7 linked regions of the Sus scrofa genome follow. The protein of the gene in region 5 interacts with the protein of the main gene of each other region in a pairwise test. Links are inferred from orthologs where the notes say so. Each region holds a gene or a part of one and is shown on either strand. Other genes may lie near its edges. The genes, in order: NAA50, STK19, RHOBTB3, AES, BHLHE40, COX5B and SMYD1.

Region 1 (2,975 bases), about 85 Mb from region 5:
ATGCCTGAATATATCTCTGATTAATAAAAAACACACTAGATTCTGAAAATAATCAATTTGTTATTTTTTATTCTTCAAAATAGTATTATATAATTTAATCTTTCCCATTGCCAAAGTGAAATGAAAGTAATCTTATTAATACTTGTATTATAAAGCTCCATAGTTGTGATCTTAGCCTTGGCTCTGATGTCTCTTACAATCCAAGTATCAATCAGCTAGGTACTCTCCAATTTTGATTATTAAATTATACTACTAATGAGCATGTCACTGGGAGCCTTGAACAAAACTCAAGAATGCAAACAGATAGCATGAGAAATGTAATATTAATGATATTAATTTCTTAAATTCTTAAGACCTGAGTTTTAATCTTGGTTTCACATCTTTGACTTTGAAGCTCCCATTCCAATGTAATGAAGCAAACAAGAATGTTTCATTTCCGATTCCTTATCTATAATTAAAACAAAACAAACTTCACAACTACTACTTCCGTGGTGTTTCCGAAAGACAATAAATGACAAGATTTTAAATTTCTAGTAAAGATTTCTATTGTCAATTCATTAAATCTTTAGATAAGAACATTTAATGACTTTACTTACAGATAGATGTTGTCAAAAGTGCCATCTTTTTCACAGATGTTTAAGACATGATTTAACATTTTAGTTCCTATTAACAAGACAAATAACAAATAAGTAATCTCATAAAAATCAATCTTTAAATTATACATCTTATTGATTCCTAACAGAATTTGAGTTAAAGTCTAGATATGCTGATTTTGCAAAATTTTGTTTTCTCTATACTACCTACTATGTTTAAAACCATTAGCAGAAAATCAATCTTCACATACAGCCCTTACAGGGAGAAGAAAAACAGAAAAAGCAACAGGGATATTAATAACAAATCCATAGAGTGCTTTCAACTGAATTATGCCAATAAGTAAATAGCTCTTTTCCACCTTATTTTATATAATTCAGTAACCTTTTCCCAGTATTCCTAGAAGAAATAGTTTGACTTACTGGGTCAGGAACAGTAACAATGTATTTGTGCTTATTTAAAGACGATGACAGACAAAAACCACAAATAATTTTACCTATTCCTAGCCTTCGGTATGGAGCCAGACATCCTAGTGTCATGATGTAAAGTCTCTTCTGATTCTGTGAATGATCCACCCTACAGCACACCGCACCTACTGCAATATCATTGAAATAGGCTGCCACGGAAAATATAAAGATACAAAGTTTAACAGACAGAATAACACATTTTACTGAATCTTTCCATCCCCTTACACAAGGACTAAATCGCTATTCATCACCGAATCTCATTAAATTTTCTAATCAGCCTCTCTGAGTATCAACAGCCTCAAAAACATCCTGTATCTTCTTGGAGTTCCCATGTGGCACAGCGGGATCAGCTGCATCTCTGCAGCACCAGAATGCAGGTTTGATCCTGGCCTGGCACAGTAGGTTAAAGGATCTGGCGTTGCTGCATATGCAGCTCAGATCTGATTCCTGGTCTGGAAACTTCATATGCCATGAGGCAGCCAAAAGGGGGAAGAAAAAAAAAAAAAAACACCAAAAACCAAACCAATACAAAACATCCTATACCTTCTTAAGAATTTAAGTCCCCTTTTGAGTAAAACTAAATATGTGAAAAAACACAGGCAATCCTAAATTAAAAAAAATATTTAGCATTTCCTTTTAAAATTCAAGTCTTTTATCTCTATTTTTTTCAGAACTTGCATCATTCCCATTTCCTCACTTGTAAAACAGGAAATTATATCAGTTAACTTTTTCTTTCCAGCTGATATTAAAAACTAGGGATCAAGAACATGAATAAACAAATGAAGGGAAGAAGAAAAACCACATCATGGATTAAGGATCTGGCATTGTCACTGCAGTGGCATGGGTTGGATCCCTACCCTAGGAACTTTCCATAAGCCATGGGTGCAGCGAGAAAAAGAACAGAAAAGAAAAACCATTATCATACCAAGTTTTGCTAGCTCGCCAACCTCCAGCACATCCTTGTAGAACTTGTCATTGTAGCTGACTGGAAAGATGACCTGGTTTAATCTCTTCAACTGTTTAATATTGTGTGGTGTCACATCTCCCAGCTCGATCCGGCTACTGGAACAAACCAAAATGTACTCAATAAAATATAATTAGCTTCATCTGTTAAGATGGACATATTAAAAGCATACCAAGTCTTTTTTAGATGACTGATAAATCCATCTCTTTTCATGAGTCACCTTACATTTCTATGAAGTTCACTTTTTTTTTTTTTTTTTTTGTCGTTTTGCGTTTTTCTAGGGCCACTCCTGCAGCATATGGAGTTTCTCAGGCTAGGGATCTAATTGGAGCTGTAGCTGTCAGCCTATGCCAGAGCCACAGCAATGTGAGATCCGAGCCGCGACTGCGATCTACAGCACAACATAGCTCACGGCGACGCCAGATCCTTAACCCATTGAGCAAGGCCAGGGATTGAACCTGAAACCTCCTGGTTCCTCGTCAGATTCGTTAACCACTGAGCCATGACAGAAACTCCTAGTTCACCATTTTTTAAGCAGATTTTTCCAGTCATTCGACCTAGATCCCAACTCTAGCTTTCATACAATTGTTTACATTTGGAGTATACAATTATAATGTCTAAATACAGTAAATAACAATTACTAAAAAGGCCAGAATATTCTACATAAATACCAAAATTTTCAGGAAAATTTAAAGACATTTATTACTGCTCAAAAAAGATTGATGACACCTTACCTAATTGGCAAAGGGGTGGCAAGTAAGATTTTTACACCCTAACAAGGATGTACATACACACAGTATCTCTGGAAGACAATCTAGCACTAGGTACTAAAAACCTAAAAATTGTATTTGTCCAAGTAACCCCACTCTAGGAAGTTATTCCATGAAAATAATCTAAATGTGCAAAAATCTTGCATATCCTATTCATTTGACATAGGAACCACACACATCAGA
Region 2 (4,031 bases), on a different chromosome or scaffold from region 5:
ATCCGGCATTGCCATGTAGGTGTAGGTTGCAGACGCAGCTCAGATCCTGCGTTGCTGTGGCTCTGGCGCAGGCCAGTGGCTACAGCTCCGATTCGACCCCTAGCCTGGGAACCTCCATATGCCGTGGAGTGGTCCAAAGAAACAGCAAAAAGACAAAAAAAAAAAAAAAAAAATTCATCTAATGAAATAAGATATAAACAAAAACACATGGTATAGTTCTGTTTGAATCAAGTTTAAAAGTGAGCAAAACTAAAATATGTTGTTAATGGATAAACACGTAGATGGTAGAAAGAAAACCGAGGTAATGACTATCATACCAGCCAAGCATGTGACCTGCCAGGGACAGAGCAATATACGTGGGCTTTGGCTGTGTGTGACAATCTGACCTGGGTCACAGTTAAGTGGGCATGTGCATTATAAACATTCTTTAAATTGTGTGTTTCTATATTGTTTTGTGCAATTTTAAAAGCTCTTCTAAAATCAAGCTAACACCAGTAGGTTAAAAACAACAATGCTCTAAGGAGTGGGTGTGGGTCCCTTTCTTAAGAGACTGGAGCTAGTCTCCATCTTCCTTCTCTCCCTCCTTTTCTTCCTGAGAGAGTGTATGCTAACCTCCCAACCGCTAAATCCATGTGCATATCATTTCACTTGACCTCTTCGAAGACCACTGCCTGGAATCACAGGTTCTAACACGACCAACTACTCCACCTTCTTGAAAATCTCTACTTTCTCAAAAGGCCTTTTCGTGGGTTCTTCCTAACTCTGGCAATTCCTTCTCAACCTCTTTCACAGACTCCTCTTCCGCTGCTTTCCTCTTGCAACAGTGGATTTCAAATTTTAAGGCACATTAAGAATCAATTGGGGCATTCTCCTGTGGTGCAGTGGGTTTCAGGATCTGGCATTGTCACTGCCTTGGTCCAGGTCACTGCCGTGGCGAGGGTTCACTCCCTGGCCTGGCACTTCCACAATAAAAAAGAATCACTTGGGGCAGTAGCTTAAAAATGTAGATTCCGGAATTCCTGTCATGGCTCAGCAGGTTACAAACCCAACTAGTATCCATAAGGATGGGGGTTAGATCCCTGGGCTCACTCAGTGGGTTAAGAATCCGGCATTGCTGTGAGCTGCAGTGTAGGTTGCAGACAAGGTTCAGATGCAGCATTTCTGTGGCTGTGGTGTAGGCCAGCAGCTGCAGCTCCGATTTGACCCCTAGCCCAGGAATTTCCATATGCTGCAGGTGCAGCCCTAAAAAAAAAAAAGTAGATTCCCAGGTTCTACCCCAAGAAATCTTAATTCATTATCATTGAGTGAGTTCCAGGAACCTGTATTTTTGAATAAAGAGGCCAGGTAATTTTCAGGGTCAGGCAGAACTCAGGACATACCTCGGGAACCACTGCCTTAAGGGTTGGTTCCTCCCAGCATTGGGGATTTGGCTCTATTATCTTTCATTGCAAACCTGGGGTCCTTAACTTTGGGCTGCAGAGGATCTGTGAAACTCTCTCCCCTCCAAAACTGTCTATATACCTTATATATATGTAATGTATATGCATTTTTCTGGAGAGAGAGACATAGCTCTTATTATCTTCTAAAGTTTGTAAAAAGGTTACAAACCACTCCTCTCCTCCCTCTTCCTGCCATTTTCACCCACTTCTACAGACTGAACCACTGCGCACATCTCCATGACTTCCAATTCTGCATTAGTGGCCCAGAACTCTCTCCAAACCCTCATCCAACTGTCTGCCGCACATTTGCATCTGGATGTTCCACAAGTACCTCCACTCAACCTGTACGCAATTAAAGACATCATCTGCCACCAATGTTCTCCTAGTCCCTTTGCTCCACCAACCACTCGGCCATCCAGAAAATCGAAGAGTTTTTCCTTCTTCTTCCCGCTCTCCACATTCCTCACCCATCCTCACCCTAATTTAGGCCTTCACCAGTTCTCAGATGTAAATATCTTTCCAATCGATCTCCCTACCTCGCCTACTCCCTCCAATCCATGCAACACACCCTTCTCTCTCCTATTTAACAGTCCCCGCCAGATCACCGCTTTCAATGTAAGACCGAAACGACACTGATGTACAAAGCCTGTCCTAATCTAATGTCTGCCTGCATTCTCAGCGCTGTAGGTTCGAACCATGCCCGGTGACTCAGTCTCTCCCAAAGCTTCACTCTTCCACACTCATGATTTGGCATGCTCTCTGTTGCCTGAGGCTCTGTAGCCTCCTCCCTGGCTGGCACAATGCTTGGCCCAGAAAGACCCAATGCTTGCTGAAAGGCAGAATAGGTGGTGGGCGAACTGAATGATGGGGAACCTCGGAAGTGCCCGCGAGGCAGGGAAGCGCCCTCCGTCGGTCGCTCTGACGCCCCTCACCAGCTGCCGGTCAGCCACCGTCCGGTCCGGCACGAGACTGTACACCTGGTTCCTCAGCACGATGGGCGGTAGCGCATCCTCAAACAGGACTCGCGGGAACAGCCGCACTAGCTCCGCGACTGCCGCGCGCGCAGATCCTGGGCGGAAAGACCTGGTCACTGAGACGTTAACTGGGACCGGGGCGGGGGAGCGGATGTACGCTGGGTCCCACCACACAGGGTTACCAGAGGCGAGGCCGCTCCCAGCTGAAGTCCCTAGTCTCGCCCTGGGGTTGCCATGGTTACCTGACTCGCCGCGCAAAGGATCTGCCTCTACATCCCGTCTTTCTCGCGGTCTCTTCAGTCCAAGGGTCTCTGGGACCAGGCGATGCCTCTTCCGGCTCATATCCCGGGATCTTAAGGTGCCGGGGAAGAGGTAGATGCTGAAGGAGAAGAACACGAAAAGTCTTCCGGCGCAGAGCAGTGACGTAGAGCGTCCCTCCTTGGAGGCCAGTCAGCCCAGTGTTACAGGACGACGTGGTGACGAAAGAGCCGTCAACCTGTCATCCCTCGGGCTGGGAGGGGCAGTGCCAATGCGGATACCGGCACCAACTGCATTGGCCGAGGCCCCACGTCCGCTGCTGATTGGCTTCCTCCGAGAGCGCCCACTTCCGGGGACGCCAGGGCAGTGCGGGAGGGGTACCGGTGGCCACGTTGTGATCTGCCTCCTGCTGTCCAGCACACAGGCCCCCATCCCAGAGGGGTTTGCCCGCCACTGTCGCTGAATAAATTGCGTCATCGAGAGCCGGGAAGACCATTTTTGCATCCCTCTTCGACTTCTGATGTACCTGCCATGACGTCATAGCTCTGCGAAGGTGTAAGTCGATGTTGGTGAGACCTGACATAACCAGCCAGATACGAGGCCAAAGGTACTTCCTAACCTCTCTGGGCTTGGAGGACCTGGGGATAGGGGTGTAAGTCAAGGGGAAAGGTGAAATGTGCACCTGGTGGTGGCCGTATTTGAGGACATGGGGCCTGCACTTTTCAAGGCCAGAGCCTGGCCATCAGTAAGCTTGCTTAGTCCTGACCTGAAATCCTCCTTTTCCAGCCCTCCTCTTTAAAAAGGGAACTTCCCCACCCTCTCTCAGGTCTGCATGGAGCCCAGAGGGACCAAGAGAGGAGCTGCAAAGATAAGAGTAGCTGAGCCCTGCAACAAACTCCCTCGCCCAGCACCCTCACTGCCCACAGACCCTGCCCTCTACTCTGGGCCCTTTCCTTTCTACCGGCGCCCTTCTGAACTGGGCTGCTTCTCCCTGGATACACAACGCCAGTACCATGGAGATGCTCGAGCCTTGCGCTACTACAGTCCACCTCCCACCAACGGTCAGAGCCCCAACTTTGACCTCAGAGATGGATACCCTGATCGATACCAGACCCGGGATGAAGAGGTCCAAGAGAGACTGGACCACCTGCTGCGCTGGCTCCTGGAGCACCGAGGCCAGCTGGAGGGGTGAGCAAAGCATGGCACACAAGTAGCTCTAGAGACCTGCACCTGCCCTCTGAAATTGGGAGAGCCCAAGCTGGAGAGAGGCCAGTCCTTAAGCTATTCTTTGGGGGCACCATAGCGCGAATGCTTGCGTCAGATCTTCAGCCCCTAATCCCTCCCTCTCAGGGGTCCCAGC
Region 3 (3,500 bases), on a different chromosome or scaffold from region 5:
TTGAATCCACACCTCATAGATACTAGTCAGGTTCTTAGCCCGCAGAGCCACAATGGAATTCCTAAATATAGCTCTTTTAAGGACACTTAAAAATACTATAGAAGCGCGTAGCTGTGGTACAGCTCTGATTCATAGCTGGAACCTATATGCCGGAGCGCCAAAATAGCAACAACAACAACAAAAAAAAAAAAAAAAAAAAAAAAAATACTATAGAAGCAAATAAATACAGATAATTTGAAGAAAAATTTGTAAAACTCAAGGATTATTCTTTTAAAAAGTTATACTGTGGGAATATTTTAACATGTAAATTTTATAGGTCTCTCTGATTTTCATTATACAAAATCATAATTTTAATTGTAAGAGTTCATCTAACAGCATATCACATTTTAACAATCTTTTTTCACTTTATGTTTTAGCAGACAAATGTTTGAGTGATCTCAAGAGCAGGAATATGTAGCTATTTTTAACAGAAGCCACCAGAGGAACTAGATGGCTAACTCAGAGGAGAAAACCTACCAAAAGATGTTCACAACACTGCCTGAGGGCTGTGACTTTGAAAGAGGAAGGAGATCACAGAAATGAATAGCTGGCTATGAAAAAGTAGATCAAATGTAGAATTTTATTTTGAACAAGACTTAAGATTTCATAACTGTGGGCTCTTGGCAAGAGATGGAATGCCTTTCACTGGAAAAATTACATTTTTGGAAGAATTTTCACTGTCTTGAGAAAGTGGTTTAAGCTGAAATAAACAAAAGAATTTAAAAAGACATTTAAAAAAAGCTTTAAACCAAATACTGCAGCATCTAACAGCTCTGTGAAGAATAATAATCGTGGAGACAGTACCCAGAAACTCACAAGGAAAAGGTCAGAAGCAAATTTGGGGCCTGAAGCAGCCAAATATTAATGCACAGATTCTAAGTAAGAAGTTGAACTTAAAATTTTAATATGATTTAGAGTAAACAGGACTTCATAGGAATCACCAAAGTTTGCCAAGATAAGGTTTAAAGGGGAGTAAGGAACTGATCTGTTTAAGGGGAAAAGGCCTCTGTTTATGCTAAGATTCCAACTTGATGGAAATATACAAACCTGAAGGTAGACTCACAATAAAGAATTGAGAGAAGTTAGGGCAAGTTCCAGCAGAAGTGAGAGAATACCTCAACTACTTAGTTATATCAAAGGTATCAATGATGCTTTCCTGATACTCAATACAAAGCTGGCAGAGATGATAGAGTGATTGGAAATTTCAGTTATTCAGAGGGCTACTGTAAGTCTAATTCTGCCAAAAGGCAATTTCACCTCCTAGAAGTCAGAGAAGCAATGAAGGAAAGGTTGACTAAAGTCCGACAAACAGATGAACTGGCTGGTGAAGTGGAACCTCAACCTGAGAGCTTCGAAGAGAAATAGGAAGAAAATTATCCTGTTTCTGTGATTCATAATTTGCAAAGTAGGGACCATCAGGAATAGACTAAAGGAAAACTGATAAATGTAGGCTGAATCTTAGCAAATAGAAAAGTTTTCAGAAACCAATAGTAAAATTCAAGAACAGGTAGTATCTTAGACTTCTAAAATTTAAAGGAAAAAATAAGGATACTCACACATTTCAGATTCAGGAAAACAAGTCAGGAAGAATTTCTGACAATACAATTATAAATGATGCTGATGGGGAATGGTGTGGGGGTGCTGGGTGTGTCTGTATGTGTTGGGGGGGGCAGTTCAAGAGATTATTGCAACCATGCAGGGAGTTCTCTTATGCATGAAATATTTAAAAGGATACTATAAGCTAAAGAAAGAGAAACTTGTGCTCATTTTTTAAAAGTATGACAGACTTGTTAGAAAGTATGAAAATGAGGAGTTCCTGTCGTGGCGCAGTAGTTAATGAATCCAACTAGGAACCATGAGGTTGCGGGTTCGATCCCTGCCCTTGCTCAGTGGGTTAAGGATCCGGTGTTGCCGTGAGCTGTGGTGTAGGTTGCAGACGAGGCTTGGATCCTGCGTTGCTGTGGCTCTGGCGTAGGCCGGTAGCTACAGCTCCGATTAGACCCCTAGCCAGGGAACCTCCATATGCCACGGGAGCAGCCCAAGAAATGGCAAAAAGACACACACACAAAAAAAAAAGAAAAAAGAAAGTATGAAAATGATACATCAAAAATGAACTGAGGTTGTGAAAATGCTAGGAAAAAATTTTAAATTTTTAAACTAAATCTAGAGGAAAGCTACTAATCCCAAGCTTAATGTAAATTTATTACAAAGAGAGATCAGTTACTCAAATTTTTTAAATTTGCTTTTCCCCTAATATTAAATACACAGGATCTGTAGACTTGATTATGAGAGAAATAAACTCCAAAAAAGCTAGGAGACCATAAAAGAAGACCTGGATGCTTTAAATGAATTCCCTTCCATGCTCAGAAGTAGGTATACTGATTAATGAATTCATCTCAGCCTGGAGGCAAGCTTTTAGCTGTCAGAGTCTGTCCTCTGCCCCATTATATGGCTCTGTTTTAGCAATGTGGATAAAGGCAAATTTGTCATATCTTCCTCTTCTGGATGCAAGAGCTTATAGGAACAGCCAATACGTTGTATGCCAGATAATATTTACAAAATCCTAATGGTTTGTAATGGTGGATCAAACATATTCCTGTGAAAAAGACTTAGAAGGTTCAGCTTTAATGCTATGACCACTGCAAAGCCCTAAAACTGTCTTAGGGCAGGGAATGGAATATAGACTAACTCCTCATACAAGGCGACATTTCAACAAAAGGTGTTTGAAAAAACTGATGAAATACACCAATATCTCCTACAACCAAGCAGAAGAACTTCAAAACATGTTGGCTAAATAAGTGTATGGATGAACAGATAAATGAGTTCAGCCTAACCATCTCTATCAGTATGTATGGACTAATCTCATTATTCTCCTTTCAGGAACCTTAAGAGGTAAACAACTGAGGGAATTTCAATGTAAATTCTATTTCCTATAATGCCTATATGAAACAATACAGCACTGACTCTAATGAGAGCTACCCTTCAGTTGAGAAAATTCCATATTGGTAAATCCTACCTCCTTAGAAAGGGATGGCCCCAAAACCCCATGCTTCGAAATTACCTAACAGCAGAAATTGCTGTGAGGGCACATTTACCTCATTTAGTCAAATTTCTAAACTAAGACAAGCACTAATATATCTCTTAATAAACAGAAAAAATTTTACAGTAACATCATTTTTGTAATTTTTTTTTTTAATCCAACAACCAGATATAGGGCCAATTACCTTGGCTTTTTTGAGCAGATCAACTATATCGAGGTTCATCGATGCCAGTTCCCTGCTTGGCATGCTTTGCAGCTGTGTAATGATGAACAGCTCACAGATGTGCTGCAGTCTGGATACCTGGTACATCTCTGCACAGATCAGGAGACACATTGCCTGGAAAATGCCAGCTGATGCAAGAAAAGAAATAAAAGAAAATGGACAATAAAACCATTTCTTTTACCATCTAAAAACAAAACA
Region 4 (4,214 bases), on a different chromosome or scaffold from region 5:
TGGCTTCTCTAATTTTCTTTAAAAATGTACAGTTGCTGCCACTGTTAAAAAAAAAAAAAAAAGGCAGTTTCATTCCAAACTGCATTTCTGGCCCTTCCTGAGGGACTGGCAGATACTGTACCAGTCCCCAACACAGTAGGACTCCTCGCTGTATAGCAGGAAGCCCAGGCCCAGCGGATCGTGACTCCAAAGCTCAGAGAGGGGGCCTGGCCTACCTGAGGTCACACAGCATGAGGCAGCAACCTGACCCTCAGTCTCTGGAGTCAGATCGGCCAGCCAGATTGGATCAGAGGAGAGCAAGGGCCAGGTAGGGAGGGTAGGACCCCTGGAGAGGCTCAGAAAGGCCAGGCCTGACAAGCAAAGCTCCTAAACCCTCCACATCACAGGACCAGAACAAAGCTCCCGGGCCTGCCCTTCAACCACCTTGCCTCAGTTTCCTCACTTTGAAATGGGCATATGATCAAAAAGCAGGGAAGATTCAATAAAAGGATGTATGTTCAGTATTTGGCAAATGGGGAGGATAGGAACACCCCCAAAGGAAAAACAGATCTCACTATTCCTATCTCTTCTTGGAGAAAACTCAGGATCCTTCATAGAACACTTTTGTGTGACCAAACTGAGGTCCAGAGAAAGCCCAAGACCCCACTGGTATCTGTGGCCATGGACCCCCTTCTGATTCTCAAGCAAAGACCCCCTCCGGAGCTAAGGCTTGAGACTTTGCAGTCTTCAACCCAGAAACTGAGTGTGAGAATCTCATTTTGCCACTTCCCTGCTGGGCAACCCCAGGAAACCCCTATCACCTCTGGGTTTAAGTTTCCCTAAATGTAAAATGAAGATAATAATAGTTCCTTTTTCTTAGATCTGGCACATGGCAAGCCCTTTAGAAATGTTAGATTAAATTCTGGAGGGAGCATCGCCTTGCTGCTGGGTGCCAGAAACCTTTTCTCCAAAACTAGGCAAAGAGATAACAAGCTATAGACTTTCTTTTGAGGGGTGGGTGGGGCGATGGAAGATCCAGCCCCCAACTCCAGCTCTTGGGAGGTCTTTTATCCAACGCAGTCTGGGGTGGGGGTGGGGGAGGGGAGAGGGGCTTGGAAACCAGACGGCTGAGTCTTTGGGCAAATTATTTAAATTCTTGTGCCTCAGTTTTCTCCTCTATGAAATGGGACTGTCCTAAAGACTAAATGAATTTAATATCCGTAAGTGTTGGAGACCTGGTCTGCCACATGAGACACTCAATACCGATTTTTTCCCCCCATTCTGTGTGTATAGCAGGGACCACAACTTCAGCTCCAGGCCTCAGTCTTGCCTTCTGAGCAGGGGGCTCCACCTTCACCCAGGGCAGGGACCACCAGCCCTCAGCTCACCTGTGGTACTGAGCCTGCAGGAGCTGAAACTCATCTTTGATGCGGTCGCAGGAGTCCGAGGTGGTGAATTTGAGTTGCTGGGGTAGGTGCGACGAGCCCTGTGGGGAGGGGGCGGCCCGGGTCAGGACCAGGAGGGGGCCGCCACCCACCTTCCTCCCTGAGGGCGCCCCCCCTCCACCAGGCTGCGGCCTGCGCAGCTGCAGCGTCCCCCCACACCCTGCCCCACTTCCCTGGCTGTGTTTACAGCCCCTGGCTCGGCCCCCGCCCTCGCTTCCTGCCCCCGCCTCTCCCCGAGAAGCTAAGGAGGGTGGGTGCTCCCGGAGCCGCTCGTCCCCCTCCACCCCCAGGCTGTGGGGGTGCATTTGAAGGGCCGCCCTTGGTGGGGGGTAGGGTGCGCCCTCTACCGCGCCTCCACAGCGCCGGGAGGGGTTGCACGTCTGAGCGTCCCAACTGCCTCAGGGAGGGGGGAGAACGCGTCCTAGTGAATCCCCCTCCCCAAAGCTGGGAGGCGGGGGCAGGCTTCCTGGCAAAGTCCCCTTGGGAGAGGGGGCTCTCAGCGCCCAAAATCTTCCGGGGGTGCGGGGGCCCACCCCAGATTCCTAGCACCCTTCCTCCAGGCCGCGCGCTCTTCCGGGAGGGGTGCGCCTTGACTCTCCCCCACTCCCAGGCCCCAAAAGCAGCCCCAGCGTTAGAGGTGCCTAGTGGGGCTCCCGGGGCGCCCCAGGCCCCAGGCCAAGGCCAGCGAGGCCCAGCCTGGCTTGGGGTGGGGGTGCGCAGGGTCCAGGGTCTGGGGCGTGCTCTGAGCTGGGGGCAAAAGGGGACCTGGGGGGGCTCTGGGCCCGGAAGCTGGGAGGGGGACCCGGAGCTGGCGGCGGTTGCGGGGGGGGAGCAGCTCTGGGCCCAGAGCTGGAGGGGACTGGGCCCAGGAGTTGGGGGGAGGTGCCGAGCTGGAGGCGGGGGGTTGGCCTGGCAGGGACCTGGAAGGGGGTCGCAGGGCTTGGACCTAGAGGGGGCGCTGGGTTCGGATATGGGAGGGTACGGGGCCCCGACCTGGAGGGACGCAGGGCCCGAACCTGGGGGAGGGAATAGCCCCGGCTGGGAACTGGGGATACCGGGCCAGGACGTAGGGGGACGCAGGGCCCGGAGCTGGGGGGGGTGGCTGGGCTGGGAACCGGGGGTGCCGGGCCCGGACGGGGGGGGGGGGGGCCGCCGGGCCGACGGGCCCCGCTTACCGAATGCCTGCTTTGTGGAAACATCATGTCAGTCGCGGCGGGGGGCGCAGGCTGCGCCCCGGCTGTGCGCCCCGACTCGGGCTGCTCGGGGCGCCGGGCGGCCGCGCCTTTGTCCCGGAGCCGATCGGCAGCTCCCGGGGCCGCCGCCGCCGCCTCCCGCGCCCGGCCTCGCCCGCTTCCTGCGCCCCCTCCCCGCGCGCCCGGCCCCGGCGCGCCCCGGGCCCCGCTTCCTGCGCGCCCGGCGCCCCTCCCCGCCCCTCCCCGCCGCCCGCCTCCCCGCACGCCCGGCCGCCGCTCCTATTGTCTAATGGCGGCGACGCCGGCAGTGGCCGCGGCCTCGGCTGCGCGGAGGCTCCGGCTCCACCTGCTGCTGTCGCCGCCGCCGCCGCCGCCGCCGCTGCTGCTTCCCGGGCCCCGTGCGCGCCGCCGAGGGGGGGGCGCGCGCCCGGGGAGGCCCGCGGATCCCCACCCATCCGCCTCCCCCGGGCCGGCCGGCGCGGTGACCTTGGGCCCGCGCGCCCCCGCCCCGCCGCGGCCCCTCCCGGCCGGGTGGCCTCGGCAACCGCCAGGGCCTCGGTTTCCCCATCGGTCAAAGCTTGGGGCCCGGCTGCCCCCATCGAAACCGCCGGCGCTGTCATGGCGCGACCCGGACGCGTGCCAGGGACATGCTCTGTAACCTTGGCTCACTGGCTTTTCTCTGAGCCTCGGTTTCCTCCTCCGTAGAAAGGCGGGGATGATACCGCCGACCTCCTGGGAGCCATACCTTGACTCACATTAATGGAGCGCCTACTGTGTGCCAGGTGGGGGTGGGAGGGGGTACAGAGTCCCTACCCTGGTGGAGAAGACAGAAGACAGAGAGACCAGCCAAAGAGCCAGGTCCCTGGCAGGTCAGATGGTGGTAACAGCTATAGAGAAAAGAAAGCAGGAGGGAGGGCCGGGAAGATGTGATTTTAAACAGAGGGAACTCAGATGGACCTCTTTGGCCGCTAAGCGGATCTGAAGACGAGAGAGGGAGCCAGTAGGCTATGGGGTTGGTCGCTTATTTTAGGAGGCAGAAACAGCCAGTGCAAAGGTACTGAGGCAGCACTGTGCCTAGCACAGGTGGGGGTGGGGTGCTTGAGAGGAAAAGGGAGCAGAGGGGCAGGGCTAGCAGCTTCTGGAATTTGCACAGAGGCCTGGCTTCCAGAAGGGCCTCTGCTTGGGTGGATGATCTGCTGTGTTGGTCTGGAAATTCCTAATAATTTTTGAATGGTCTTGTTTTGCATTGGGGCCTGCAAATTCTGTAGCTGGTGATGAGGCGGGACAGATGGTGCAGGGCCTTGTGGGCTCAGGGAGGATTTGGGCTTGCTCGGAGTGAGATGGGAGCCCTGTGAGATGGTGGGCAGAGGAGAAACAGGGCTGATGGGGACTTTGATAGGATCTCTCTCCCTTTCCTGTGGAGAGCAGGCCTCCAAGAAACCAGAAATAAGGCACATTAAGTTCCAGGAAGTGCTAAATACATAGGCTCTTAATTGTCACCATCATCATCATCCACTATGCACCTTTGCCTCCTGGATGAATTTAAATTCTTCCAGCCTTGGGTTTTCCCATTTGTAAAATGGAGACTTAGGACCGT
Region 5 (4,203 bases):
AGTCTTTCCCCTGTATTCTATCCACGATCCCCAAGAAATTAGGTAGGATCATCTTCTTATTTTCAACAAGGAAACTGGCAGAAGCACCTGCTAGGTTCTTGTGACTCTCATCATAACAGTTTGGAAAGAGGGGCAGAGAGGAAAGGAATGAGGGATTGGATAGAAGAATTTCTCCCTGGTGTGTACAATATTATCTGGAAAGAGTGAGACGAGACGTGATTGTGATTCTCTGGAAGGTGATTGTGATTCTCTGGAAGTCAGGAGAAACATGATGAAACTTCAGTGGTTTCGTGAGATTGTGTAATTCACCAAGATACCTAGTGGCTATTCAGGGAACCACATGAAATGCAGGAAAAACTCCTGCTGTCATCCTGCCAGGATCATACCACACACCATGTGATAAGGAAGTAGAGACACAGGAAAACACTGGGGCATACCCATGATTTTATTCTCCAATGAAACAGGGCTAAGAAGACTAACTGTAAAACACCCACGATGCAAATTATAGGTGCCTTGGCATTTTGAAAGGAAGGGGGGGAAAACTCCCAGAACCTAGAAACTCTTTAAGCCAAAATGCCACAGAAATATTTTACCGTTTGACTAATACGTATTCATGCCAGGTGGCACATAGCAGCCTCCCAAATGAAAAGTCTGACCTTTTAGGAAAGATAAAACAGCATCTTCCCCAGTGAATGTGCATAAGCAGTTTGTTGCAGGAATGTTTCTTATGTCAGATGTTGAGCCCACAGGCTCTCCATTTGTGCTAGAACTCTTAGGAGATAGCCAGGCTCAGGAACTCACCAGCTTGCAAACCGCTCTGCAGGGCAATGATTTTCTGTTGTTGCTGATCAATTAGGTTCGTTAGTGCTTTCACATGCTTCAAGGTAAGTTCAAGAACCACTGCTTTTTCCAAGTGACCCAAAGTCTGGAATAAAAAGAGCCTCAGTCAGCAGGGAGCTCAGAGAAGTCCCACCTCTGGGACCCTTATTAGCAATGAGAGATGTCTCTAAAGGGAAAAAAAAACAAAAACAACCTTTCCTGGTTGGCTAAATTTCATTTTAAGTTTATAGATGTTTAAAATATATATATATATAATTATTAAAAAAAAACTAGTTAAAAAACAACAAATGAGTGTCACCCATCTTTGGAGGCATTTTGGAAGCAGCAGCTACCTCAGGAGAAAGCTCTGACAGATAAATTTTTCCAGCAGCCTCTGCTGACCTTAACTCAGGGGAATCCGAAGATTACATTTCTCTGCAGTGGTGTCAACCCGAGGAAGGACTTCTACTGTGTCTGGCAGCCAAGAGGCTTTCCCTAGTTTCTTTCCTGACACCCTGTCATAACTTCCAGTTCATCTAAGTTTTTTCTTCCCCCTAAATACTTCTTTTTTTTTCCCTTTCCCCAACCAAAGGCTGTCAAGCTAGTAAGCTGTTGACCATTGCCAAGAAAGGACAGGATGTTTAAAAAAAAAAAAAAATCACACACCCAAACAAGTCCTCTCATTTTAAAAAGAGATGGGGAGGAAAGAGGTTAAGAAAAATTGCAGGTTGCTTGGTTTGCTCAAGTTAGGAAATCAAGAGAACCTTGAAAATCACCAGAACGGTGAGCCTTAAACTCTTGCAAAGGAAGGCCAGCCGGTGTTGGTGCCAACTGGAGAAATACAAACGGTTTTCACCTTATTTGCATGAGGCTGCCAGAAAATTCTGAGGACTGGGGAAGTGTACCCCAAATAGCCACCCAGCAGCTCGAATCCAGCCGTCTGGCCTGCAGTTCCCGGCGGGACCTGCAGGCGGCGAGTGACCCCCGACCGCCCTCTGGGCAAAGGAGCTGGTTTGGAGAAGGGCCAGCTTCTCACTTACTGTAAGTTTGAGATGTTCGGGGAGGAGATCCTTCAGCTGGGCGATGCACTCGTTAATCCGGTCACGTCTCTTTTTCTCGATGAGCCGGTGCGGCAGTTTGTAAGTCTCCTGCAAGGCGCACGGGGAAATGGTGGGCTCCGGAGGAGGAGGATGAGAAGCCCTTTTCCTCCCTTACCCCGCGGCGCGAGAAGAGTAGGGGCAAATGAACAGAGTCACACCCAGAACTACCTTCTTCTCCAAGCCATCCAGGCACGGACCCCGCACCTTGCATACCCCCTCCAACCTCAAAGTGAGAAAAGTTTTCTTGGGAACTCAGTGCGTGCTAGGGGCTGGGGTCCCCAGGGGTCCGGGGCCCTTACCTTGCTGTCCTCGCTCCGCTTTATTCCCCGCCTCGACTTGTACACTTGATACATGTGGGCAAAATCCATCCTGCAGGGAGAGGGACGAAGAAGGGTCGTGACTTTGCCTGCGCACCCGCTGCAGGAACCCTGGCGGGCATGAACCCGCATATGCGCCCAGAGCGATTCCGAGTTGAAAGTCGCTCAGAACGCAGGACTGGAGTTGAGGCTTGAAGGGGCCGGGGGTGTCAACTTACCCTGGTAGGTCTCCAGGCTCCAGTCCTGGTGCTTTGGGCAGGCAAGCGGGGGGCGGCTGCGCGCTGGGTATCCGCTCCATGGCGCGGCGAGCCGGGGCCACTGTGCGCTCCTGTCTGCAGTGGCAGAGAGTCCGGTGAGGACTGTCCTGGAGAGGTTTCGAGGGGTCTCTCCTCAGGAGTTCCTCTGAGTCTGAGCTCCCTGAAATCCTCCGGCTGCCCGGAGCTTCGGCTTTGAGGTGTTGCTTCAGTTGGGGGCGTGCATGGTGTCCCCGCGGCTTCTGGCTCAGGCTCTGCGCACAGACTGGCGATGTGTGCTCCCTGCGCCGTCTGCGCTGTGCGAGCCAAGTGAATGAGAAGTGGGGCGGGCGGGGAGGCGGGAGGGAGCGGGGGGGGGGCGGTTAGGGTGGAGTGGGGGGGTGGGGGGAGAACGAGCCGAGGAGTAATGGAGAGGCTGCGGGCTGGGTTAAATGGGAGCGAGTGGGTGGGTTGGAGCTACGTGTTCTACCCTGTGACTCCAGGCACGTCTGGCCGCTGCCGGGGAGGGAAGGAGCGACCTGCCCGCCCTCCCCCGGCTTCATCACATGAGTCTCACGTGTTGGACAACGCTCCCGCGGCTGCGAGGGAGCCCCCACCCCCAGCTCCGGCCCCCAGGTGTCTGCGGCTGCCTTTCCCCGAAGAGGGGGTGGCAGCGCGGCCTGGGTCCTGCCCAGCCGGGTGGGGGGCGCGGAAGCTGGAAGGGCCCGGGGAGCCGGGGGGGGGGGGCAGGGAGGGGAGGTTGGTAACGTGGGCGAACCTGCCCCAGGGAAATGAAGTAAGTTCCCGTCTCCTGGGAGGGAAGGGGGAGGACGGATCCGCCCGCCTCTGACTCAAGCCGGGAGAGGAATATCCCCTCGCTCGCTCCAGCCCAACCCGTTTCCTCCTCCCCCCGCGCGGTCCGCTCGGAGGAACCAGCGCTCAGCCGAGGGAGTCGCCCGGCCCCCCTGCCTTCCCCAGGGGCTGGGGTTTCTTTCGGTGCCGGCTTCCCTGCCCCCACCCTCCAGCCCAGAGTCCAGGAATCGCCCGACGTGGGGAGGGGCCGAGGGGCGGGGCGGATGTCACCCCATGGGAAGCGGGCTGGCAGCCAAGCGCAGGGGCAGCCGAGGCCGCCGCCGAGCACGCTCTGCGCACCTGATCCGAGAGGCTGCGTGCGGCGGGCCCCTGGCTCCCCCGGAGTTCCGCTCCCGGGCACAGCCTGAGCGCTGGCGGGCACCCACTTGCCCACCCCCCAGGGTGCTCCAGAGTACCCCCCCCCCGCGCGCCTTGGACTAGTCAAGCACAGAAAGATACCCGGCGCGGAGCCCTGCGTTCCCTCCCTTCTCTGCCCCCACCGGAGCGGAGGCGCTCGGGTCGCCTCCCCTCGGGCTGCAACGTTACACAACCGTGGCGGCGGCGCCTGCCCTGCAGCAGCGCGGGGCGTGACACTTCACGTGGCCGGAGCTCGGGCCGCAGCGTCCCCGACTTCGAGCCCCTCTGCCCAGACCGGGGGACGGAGAGCCCCGGGCCGGTGTGGCCCGCCGGAGTCTGCCGTCTCCCTCCCTCCGGGAACTTCGGCGGTGCCGTGTGGGATCCTCACCCGGAGATGGAGGAAAGGGAGAGAGACTAGGAAAAACTATCTGCCCTTCACAGTGACATCTTAGCATTCATTCATTCTACACGCATTTGTTGACTTCCCTACCCTGTGCCAGGCATTGTCCCCGTTGCTAGACACAC
Region 6 (3,445 bases), on a different chromosome or scaffold from region 5:
CTGTTGTGAAAGAATTTTCTACCCAATAGGGAAAAAGATGCTGCATGCAGCCAGTCTGTAACAGGGCTACACCGACAGCAGGAACTAGTTCCTAGGAGCCCATCCATACAAGGCAGCGTTTACAGAAACTTGCACACCTCAGCTTGCGGGGCAATGGGGGCGGCTACAGAAGACATTTTCAGCTTTTAGGAGTTCTCTTGTGGTGCAGCAGGTTAAGGACCGAGCAGTACTACTGCAGCAGCCTGGGTCGCTCCTTTGGCATGGGTTCCATCCCTGGCCGGGGAACTTCCACATGCTGTAGACCCGGGCCAAAACCAAAAAACAGGCCAAAAAGTTTTCAGTTTTAAACAAGAGAACTCGCCCCAGTACGTTCTGGAGCTGGAGCTCCATTTCCCGTCACCAACTCCGCTTCCTGCTTCCCTCCCTTAACTTCTTAATTAACAGCCTCCCAATGCAACCACCCCTTTACCTTACCCCATATCATCAAGGGCCTGGCTCCCAGGAAGGGCCCACAATTTGACCGTCCCTTCCCCTGCCACCCCAGCCTCGCCTCAGGCCTGAACCTCATCACCTCAAAACCACCGTAACAAGAAGCTGACGTTAGGACTGCGGGGAGCTCCTGCTCAAGTTCTCCTAGGCTGGGTTACAAGTTCGCAGTGGCTCACAAACGGCCAGGTGAACCAGCACCACAACTAGCCTACTCCTAAATTTGGACCTTTTGGGATCCAGCAAGTATCTTGAGCGACGCAGGCTTAATGTTTTCCGTCAGCAGGCTCCACGTTTACTCGGCACAACTATCGGCTCCAGCGTGGTTTTCCATTGACCTGCGGGGCACTGAGTCCCACGGAAGTAAAACGAGTTGCACCAAATCCGAGCGTTACTAAAGGGCAAAGCCCCCAGAAGCCTGCAATTGAAACCGTGACCGCCTCCATGCCCTCGGGGCTGCAAGGCGGGGCAGTGAGGCACAGGTGCGCAAGCGCAGGCCTTGCCCCAACGCCCCCCCCGCCGCCCCGAGGAGTCACGTGAGGGGGGCGGTCTAGGGGCCGGAGGAAGCGGAAGGCGGACTCTGCGCAGAAAGCAGCCCTCCCCCGGAAGTCCCTGCACCTCAGGAGCCTGTTACCGGAAGTGCTGGTATTTGTAGCGGGCGTGATGGCTTCAAGGTTACTCCGTGGAGCTGGAGCGCTAGCCGCGCAGACCTTGAGGGCCCGAGGTCCCAATGGAGTCGCCGTTGTGCGGTCTATGGCATCTGGAGGTACTAGGCCCCCCCGGCGCGCCAGGGACCCGTGCCATTGCTCTCTCGGGGTGGTGGGGGCAGCGGGGCGGGGGACAGCCTTCAGTACCTCGCGGCCGCAGTGGCTGCCCCTTGGCCCCGAAGGCCTCAGGCTCCACAGGCGTCTCCCTGTTACCCTGGGCCGCCGTTGCTGCCGACCACCAGACTGACCCCGCTGCCAAAGAATCCTTAACTGAAATGCTAGATGACCTTGATGGGCAGGGATTGCAGCCAGGACATGGGGGGTGGGGCTAAGCCCCTCCTTAGACCCGCGCGTATCTCAAGTTGGATGTATTCCACTAGGACTCTGATTAACCTGCTTTTAGGAAAAAAATGTGTCGAAAAACGGCCTCCGTGGCCGAAGGAAGTGAAGATCACCCCATGTTGCCACTTTCGGGTATCATGACTCCGGTCTTTAGGGGACAATAAGCCCACTAAAACTATATGCAGCAGTTTGCGTATGTGCATTTTCCATCGTGATCATTTCAGACGACATGGTAATTACCATATTTTCTTCAGGTGGTGTTCCTACTGATGAGGAGCAGGCGACTGGGCTGGAGAGGGAGGTCATGATGGCCGCCCGCAAGGGACTGGTGAGGAGAAACTTTATATGTCTTCTTAGGAGTTTATGGTTTTGGATGGGATCAGAGTAGTCTCCTCTCTGGGCCTCACTGATCCTGGAAACCTGGCATGTGGGAACAATACCGCTAACCCCTAGAAGGTAGGAGTCATTTGGCATAATGGATTCTTATTTTGTCTTTTCAGGACCCATACAATATACTTGCCCCAAAGGCAGCCTCAGGTACCAAGGAAGACCCTAATTTAGTCCCCTCCATCACCAACAAGCGGATAGTGGGCTGCATCTGTAAGTACCTCAACACTATTTTCTTACCCATTTAATATAGCCCACTATACAGGTCTGTAAGCTCTTTCATATCTTGTGCTTTGTGTGTGTATAAATAAGTTGTTATAAGGGTCTTGGCCCTCTCATACCCCTCTGCTTGAGTAGGTGATCCTTACGGGAGAGAGGCCTGGAACATAAATAATATTGGTTCATTGAGAGTTCTTGTTGCGGCTTAGTGGGTTATGAACAAGACACTAATATCCATGAGGATGTGGGTTTGATCCCTGGCCTCGCTCAGTGGGTTAAGGATCTGGTGTTGGGGCTGTGGCATAGGCCAGCAGCTGCAGCTCTGATTTGACCCCTGGCCTGGGAACTTCTATATGCTGTTTTTATTAGGTGCAGCCCTAATAAAAAAAAAAAAAATAGCAAAAAAGAAAAAAATACTGCCTTATTGGAAAGGCAGTATGAGGAAGGAGTATTCATCTAGAAAGTGTTTATTGTATTTCTCCTTTGCTAGACACCCTGTTAGGCAGTGTCAGCCATAATTTTGTGTCTCAGAGGTGTCTGAAGAGAAGAGATTAATGTTGAAAGTCCCCTCTTCTAGGCTGGATAGCTTTCAACCACCTATGTTCTTTCAGGTGAAGAAGACAACAGTACTGTCATCTGGTTCTGGGTGCACAAAGGCGAGACCCAGCGATGCCCCAGCTGTGGAACCCATTATAAGCTGGTGTCGCACCAGCTGGCCCACTGAGCCCCTGCACTAACACACTCAAGATGCGCTGGCAAGTTTCTTCCAATAAAGACTAGCCATTACACTGGCTCCTCCTCCCATGGCTGGCTGGTCTTCTTTCTTTCCTGTATTTCTAGAAGGGTATGGGTAATTCTTATATCAGAGGTAGTTGTCTATTCGTATTAGCTTGCCATCCACTGTGTACACTGAGATTACCAATCCCTAATGCAGTGATAGGAACCACCTGGCAAGGGGCAAACCGGCTGTGGAAGCAGGCTGGCTGGACTTGTAGAACTGGCTCCACTCCATCATTTAGCTTTATCACTGGGGACATGTTCTCTGGGATGGATCACATTAAAAAAAAGAAAGAAAAAAAGAAAGGATAAGTATCTTGTAAGGTTGTAGGAGTATATAAAGAGCCTGGCAGATAGGTCCTTATGCTGTTCTAAAGACAGAGTGGCCTTGTGAGGAGAGTTTTGGCTTTGAAGTCTTAAGGGACCCAGGTTTAAAGCATAGTTCATGAGGATGCCATCAGCAAAATCTAGAATATGGGACAGTTCTAGAAACCAGCAACCAGTTTCTTCAAATAAACTATAGGGAG
Region 7 (4,069 bases), on a different chromosome or scaffold from region 5:
AGACATCTAAATCATTAAATGAAAAACCCATGATAGTTTGGAGTTCTCACTGTGGCACAGTCAGTTAGGAATCCAACTGCAGTGGCTCTAGTCTCTGGGGAAGCACAGGTTTGATCCCTGGCCTGGGTAACTTCCATATACTGCAGGTGCAGCCATTAAAAAAATGGTAGTTTATATATAATAATATACAAGCCTGTAGTACAAACAAATGAACCCTGTGTTGTAAAATAAGCAGGAGACAATCAACAAGGTTGAGTTATCTTGGTGTGAAGATACCTTTTTTTCTTCCTAAATTTGACTTTTATAATGAAGGGAAAACCCACTCAACTCCAAACCGTCGTGAAGGAGAAACTGATTGGCCATATTGGCTTTTAGGGAATTGCAGAAACCCATGGAGGTTCTTTAAAAGGCAAGGTGGCAACTCAGTGGCAGCACCAAGATTATTCAGGGTTCCTGTGTTTCTAGATTTTTTTTTCCTTTTCCTTTTTAGGGCCATGTGGCACATGGAAGTTCCCAGACCAGGGGTCAAATCGGAGCTGCAGCTGCCAGGCTACACCACAGCCACAACAACACCAGACCCGAGCCACATCTGCAACTTACACCACAGTTCACAGCAACACCGGATCCTTTACCCACTGAGTGAGGCCAGAGATAGAACCCGAATCCTCATGGCATTAGGCAGGTTCCTTACTACTGAGCCACAATGGGAACTACCCTGTGTTTCCAGCTTTTTATGTCTTAATTTTGGATGCCACTAACTCCTCATCCACCCCCAACAGACACACGCACACACACACACATACACACACACACAATTACATTAACAAAGTAAGACCCAGAGTTCCCATTGCGTCTCAGTGGTAAAAAAAAAAAAAAAAAAAAAATCTGACTAAGATTCATGAGGATGCAGGGTCAATCCCTGGCCCTGCTCAGTGGGTTAAGGATCCAGCATTGCTGTGAGCTGCACTGTAGATTCGCAGATGCTGCTCTGATCTGGCGTTGCTGTGGCTGTGGCTATAGGCTGGCAGCTGCAGCTCCGATTGGACCCCTGGTCTGGGAACTTCCATATGCCATGGGTGCAGCCCTAAAAAGATGAAAATAAATAAATAAATAAGGTAAGACCCACTCCCCCAAGAGGTATTACTGTCCTCTCAGCTGCTTTATATTCCTCAGCTGGTATCAGCTGCCTTCTCCCTGAAGGTCTTCATAGGTAGGAAGAAATGAGAATTCAAATGCTGCTCAAATTATCTCTGAAAACCTTTGCCCATTCTCAGGATGGTCACGAAGCCAAGATCAGAGGCCATCTTTATTGAGACTACATCAATGTCAGGCAGGCCACCCCAACTTTTGAGAATACTGTTATAATTTCATCACAGTATAAGGTTTTTTCTAAAAAAAAAAAAAAGAAAAATAGAGATTTAGTACTAATTTGAAAGTTTGGGTCAAGGATGGACAGGATTGTGAGGAAATGAGAATGTAAATTTAACAGACCCACTAAGGAGATCCTATTAAAATGGAAAAAAGTACACCCTATGGCAGAGTGATTCCTCTTTTAGCCATTCATCCTAGAGAATTATCACGCATGAGTACAAGTGGACATGATCGAGGATTTTAACTGCAGAAATATTTGTTTTTATGAAAAAAAATGGAGACCACCAAATGTTTCTCAATAGGGCAACAGATTTCTTAAAGACCATATATTTACAGGGAAGAATATCTACAGAAGTTAAAATTTGTGATCCATAGAGCGTATGGATCAACATGGATAGATCTACACGTGGGAGGAAAAAACAGATCTTTGACGATTTAAAAGAAGTGTCTATAAACTTACAGTTTCCACATGGATAAGTATCAAAACATGCTTAGTGAAAACAGTATGTTTCAGAATGATGTCTGAAGTATGATAACATTTCTGTTAAAAAAAGACAAATTACAGCTATATATTTGGTAAGTACAGATATAGACAGATAGATGCAATAGAACAAGAATATTCTAGAAAGAATCATTAAAATCACAAGAAGGATTACCTCTGAGGAAAGACAGAGGGGACTGGGTTTCTGGGTGGGAAAGGTAAAAGAGGATTCCCGTTCATGGGTGATACTCCTATTTTCAAAAGCAAATGGACTCCAGGAGTACTTGCATATTTACATGTTTTTAAAATCCCAGGACTCACTTACTTCTCTAATATGTTTATTTTATCTCAGAAGCTAAAAAACATGGAGCCCTCTGGAAAAGATTTCAAGGCACCACACCCACCTCTCCCTTTCTCTCCAACCTCACCACACACAGCACTCCCACTCAGCCAAGTTCACCAGTGCTCTGAGCACTTGCCCCCAAGCCTTTGATCACCTTTGCAACCCCACCCCAGGCACCAGAGCAAATCCCACTGGCAGTGACTCTTTGCAGGAAAAGTTACACAAGAAAACAGTTAGCTGTTGGAATGCCATTCCTTATCAATGGCCCCATGGATTTTATCCCTTGCTCTGATGATTTTGAGAGCAAAATATTTGAGAATGTGGCAACAGCCAAACCAACAGGAGAAAAGAGGGCAACCACCCACATTCTGTACCTGTCAAAAACCACGGCAGAGTAAGCCCGCTCAGCGAAGATGACATCAGCAGCCCAGAACTCCTTGGTGGCCTTCAGACCTCTGCCTTTGCCCTCAGAAGTAATGACCTCCACATTCTCCATTCTCTCTATTGTCATCTCAGAATCTTAGGGCAGCTCGGCAGATATTTAACACTGAGCCAAGTCCCTTGTCCTCGCTGCTATTTCAGCACCTTCAGCATCCCAAAGAGCAAGCCTATAAATGGACAAGCACCTCCCCTTCCCTACCCCCTCTCAGCCACTGGGTCCCCACCTCCCCCTCTGCCTCTATTCTTGGAGACAGGGATGGGGCAAGCCAGAGGCCAGTGATCTGGGAAGGGTCCCTCGCACCGCCCAATGTAACCGACAACATAGAAAATGATTATGGGTTGGTGTGCTTCTCATATTGGGTCTGAAAACTTTTGAAAAGTTCTTTTGCAAGGGTAGTTAAGTCCTGGATGGCAGTCATGCTCAGCTTGAGTTGGAATAGGCGGCACTTGGTCAGTCGGGTATTTTTAGCAGCCAGATGCCTGTGTCAATCCAAAGCAGACAGCTGAAGTGGTCCAAGAGAAGAGGCGAGGTGATGCTTACTGTTCTGGGACCCTTCAGCTGTCAGGCTTGGACTTTCTCAAGTGAGACGGGCCCCTTGTTCCCCCCCCCCCGCCCGCCCCCGCCCCAGGCACCAGAGCAAATCCACATGGGTGGACTGTTTGCAGAAAGCAGCAGATGCAAAAGTGGCCTCTGGGCTATGTGCATAACAGTACGTTTAGGTTCTAATGGGCATCCCTCTTCCCCAGTATAACCTGGGCCTCCCACAGCACCTCCATCCAGGGCCTGGAGGACTGAGAATTCCCTGATAACACGTATGTGCTAGATGAAAGCTATATTATGAGAGCAGGCAGGCCTTGACAATGAACACTCTCCTGTCTCTCAGGCTATCAAATCTCCCTTAAACATGTGTTTGTTGCCAGAAAAATAGTAATTGGATATTGGATGGATTATTGCAAAATCTCCCTTGAACTAAAAGCCACTTGTCTTGAAGGCCAGGCAGCTCTCACTGAGGTTGAAAAGAAAGACTCTTGCAGATCTGGAGCTGTGGCTTACCTTTCAGGTAATATTTTTAGTTTCTGGGATGCATCTATTTACAGATTTCTGTGCTCTGGATTTCTGTGAGTGCAGTAGCTTGTAAGTGCTGGCTTCTGTGTCAGCTAAATCTGCATTTAAATTTTGAGCCTACAGGGACAACTTTGATATCCTAGTTACAAAACAAGGGGGATAGTTTCACTGGTAAATGAAGTAATAGGCACCAAGGAAGTAGCATACCTTTCGGCACTTTGAATGGGACTTTTTCCATATTTTATGTATTCAGTCACTTTATCTTCCCTAAACCATCCAGATACACTAGCGATTCTAATGTGCCTTCAACCAAATTGCATCTCCTGAAACTGCCTTGACTTCTGGAAGCAGCTGCAGAATCTTCTGC

The links.
Region 1: the proteins of BHLHE40 (region 5) and NAA50 interact in binary tests that used the Homo sapiens proteins (3 or more experiments, as listed by UniProt). The two-hybrid records come from large-scale screens. The link is inferred for Sus scrofa from reciprocal best matches to the Homo sapiens genes BHLHE40 and NAA50.
Region 2: the proteins of BHLHE40 (region 5) and STK19 interact in a two-hybrid assay, tested with the Homo sapiens proteins (2 studies listed by BioGRID). The two-hybrid records come from large-scale screens. The link is inferred for Sus scrofa from reciprocal best matches to the Homo sapiens genes BHLHE40 and WHR1.
Region 3: the proteins of BHLHE40 (region 5) and RHOBTB3 interact in binary tests that used the Homo sapiens proteins (3 or more experiments, as listed by UniProt). The two-hybrid records come from large-scale screens. The link is inferred for Sus scrofa from reciprocal best matches to the Homo sapiens genes BHLHE40 and RHOBTB3.
Region 4: the proteins of BHLHE40 (region 5) and AES interact in binary tests that used the Homo sapiens proteins (3 or more experiments, as listed by UniProt). The two-hybrid records come from large-scale screens. The link is inferred for Sus scrofa from reciprocal best matches to the Homo sapiens genes BHLHE40 and TLE5.
Region 6: the proteins of BHLHE40 (region 5) and COX5B interact in binary tests that used the Homo sapiens proteins (3 or more experiments, as listed by UniProt). The two-hybrid records come from large-scale screens. The link is inferred for Sus scrofa from reciprocal best matches to the Homo sapiens genes BHLHE40 and COX5B.
Region 7: the proteins of BHLHE40 (region 5) and SMYD1 interact in binary tests that used the Homo sapiens proteins (3 or more experiments, as listed by UniProt). The link is inferred for Sus scrofa from reciprocal best matches to the Homo sapiens genes BHLHE40 and SMYD1.

What each region holds. Positions count from the first base shown.
Region 1 is NC_010455.5:146,210,218-146,213,192, reverse strand, and holds part of NAA50 (N-alpha-acetyltransferase 50), read right to left. Parts: intron 2,121-2,975; coding exon 1,984-2,120; intron 1,208-1,983; coding exon 1,088-1,207; intron 664-1,087; coding exon 597-663; intron 1-596. UniProt on the Homo sapiens protein: N-alpha-acetyltransferase that acetylates the N-terminus of proteins that retain their initiating methionine. Has a broad substrate specificity: able to acetylate the initiator methionine of most peptides, except for those with a proline in second position.
Region 2 is NC_010449.5:24,058,995-24,063,025, reverse strand, and holds the start of STK19 (serine/threonine-protein kinase 19), read right to left. Parts: upstream 2,801-4,031; 5' UTR 2,756-2,800; coding exon 2,656-2,755; intron 2,509-2,655; coding exon 2,372-2,508; intron 1-2,371. Other genes in the region: DXO (decapping and exoribonuclease protein), read left to right, coding at 3,504-3,859, 4,022-4,031. UniProt on the Homo sapiens protein: DNA-binding protein which is required for efficient transcription-coupled nucleotide excision repair (TC-NER). Acts as part of a TC-NER complex which assembles and interacts with RNA polymerase II (RNAPII) when it stalls at DNA lesions.
Region 3 is NC_010444.4:102,383,247-102,386,746, reverse strand, and holds part of RHOBTB3 (rho-related BTB domain-containing protein 3), read right to left. Parts: intron 3,431-3,500; coding exon 3,264-3,430; intron 1-3,263. UniProt on the Homo sapiens protein: Rab9-regulated ATPase required for endosome to Golgi transport. Involved in transport vesicle docking at the Golgi complex, possibly by participating in release M6PRBP1/TIP47 from vesicles to permit their efficient docking and fusion at the Golgi.
Region 4 is NC_010444.4:75,490,794-75,495,007, reverse strand, and holds the start of AES (amino-terminal enhancer of split), read right to left. Parts: upstream 2,801-4,214; 5' UTR 2,627-2,800; coding exon 2,600-2,626; intron 1,466-2,599; coding exon 1,368-1,465; intron 1-1,367. UniProt on the Homo sapiens protein: Transcriptional corepressor. Acts as a dominant repressor towards other family members. Inhibits NF-kappa-B-regulated gene expression. May be required for the initiation and maintenance of the differentiated state.
Region 5 is NC_010455.5:61,526,609-61,530,811, reverse strand, and holds the start of BHLHE40 (class E basic helix-loop-helix protein 40), read right to left. Parts: upstream 2,801-4,203; 5' UTR 2,535-2,800; coding exon 2,455-2,534; exon of another isoform or gene 2,295-2,454; intron 2,289-2,294; coding exon 2,219-2,288; intron 2,149-2,218; exon of another isoform or gene 1,974-2,148; intron 1,968-1,973; coding exon 1,860-1,967; intron 926-1,859; coding exon 802-925; intron 1-801. UniProt on the Homo sapiens protein: Transcriptional repressor involved in the regulation of the circadian rhythm by negatively regulating the activity of the clock genes and clock-controlled genes.
Region 6 is NC_010445.4:56,629,797-56,633,241, reverse strand, and holds COX5B (cytochrome c oxidase subunit 5B, mitochondrial precursor), read left to right. Parts: upstream 1-1,134; 5' UTR 1,135-1,149; coding exon 1,150-1,252; intron 1,253-1,789; coding exon 1,790-1,863; intron 1,864-2,035; coding exon 2,036-2,135; intron 2,136-2,752; coding exon 2,753-2,865; 3' UTR 2,866-2,945; downstream 2,946-3,445. UniProt on the Homo sapiens protein: Component of the cytochrome c oxidase, the last enzyme in the mitochondrial electron transport chain which drives oxidative phosphorylation.
Region 7 is NC_010445.4:57,915,777-57,919,845, forward strand, and holds the start of SMYD1 (histone-lysine N-methyltransferase SMYD1), read right to left. Parts: upstream 2,801-4,069; 5' UTR 2,707-2,800; coding exon 2,570-2,706; intron 1-2,569. UniProt on the Homo sapiens protein: Methylates histone H3 at 'Lys-4' (H3K4me), seems able to perform both mono-, di-, and trimethylation. Acts as a transcriptional repressor. Essential for cardiomyocyte differentiation and cardiac morphogenesis.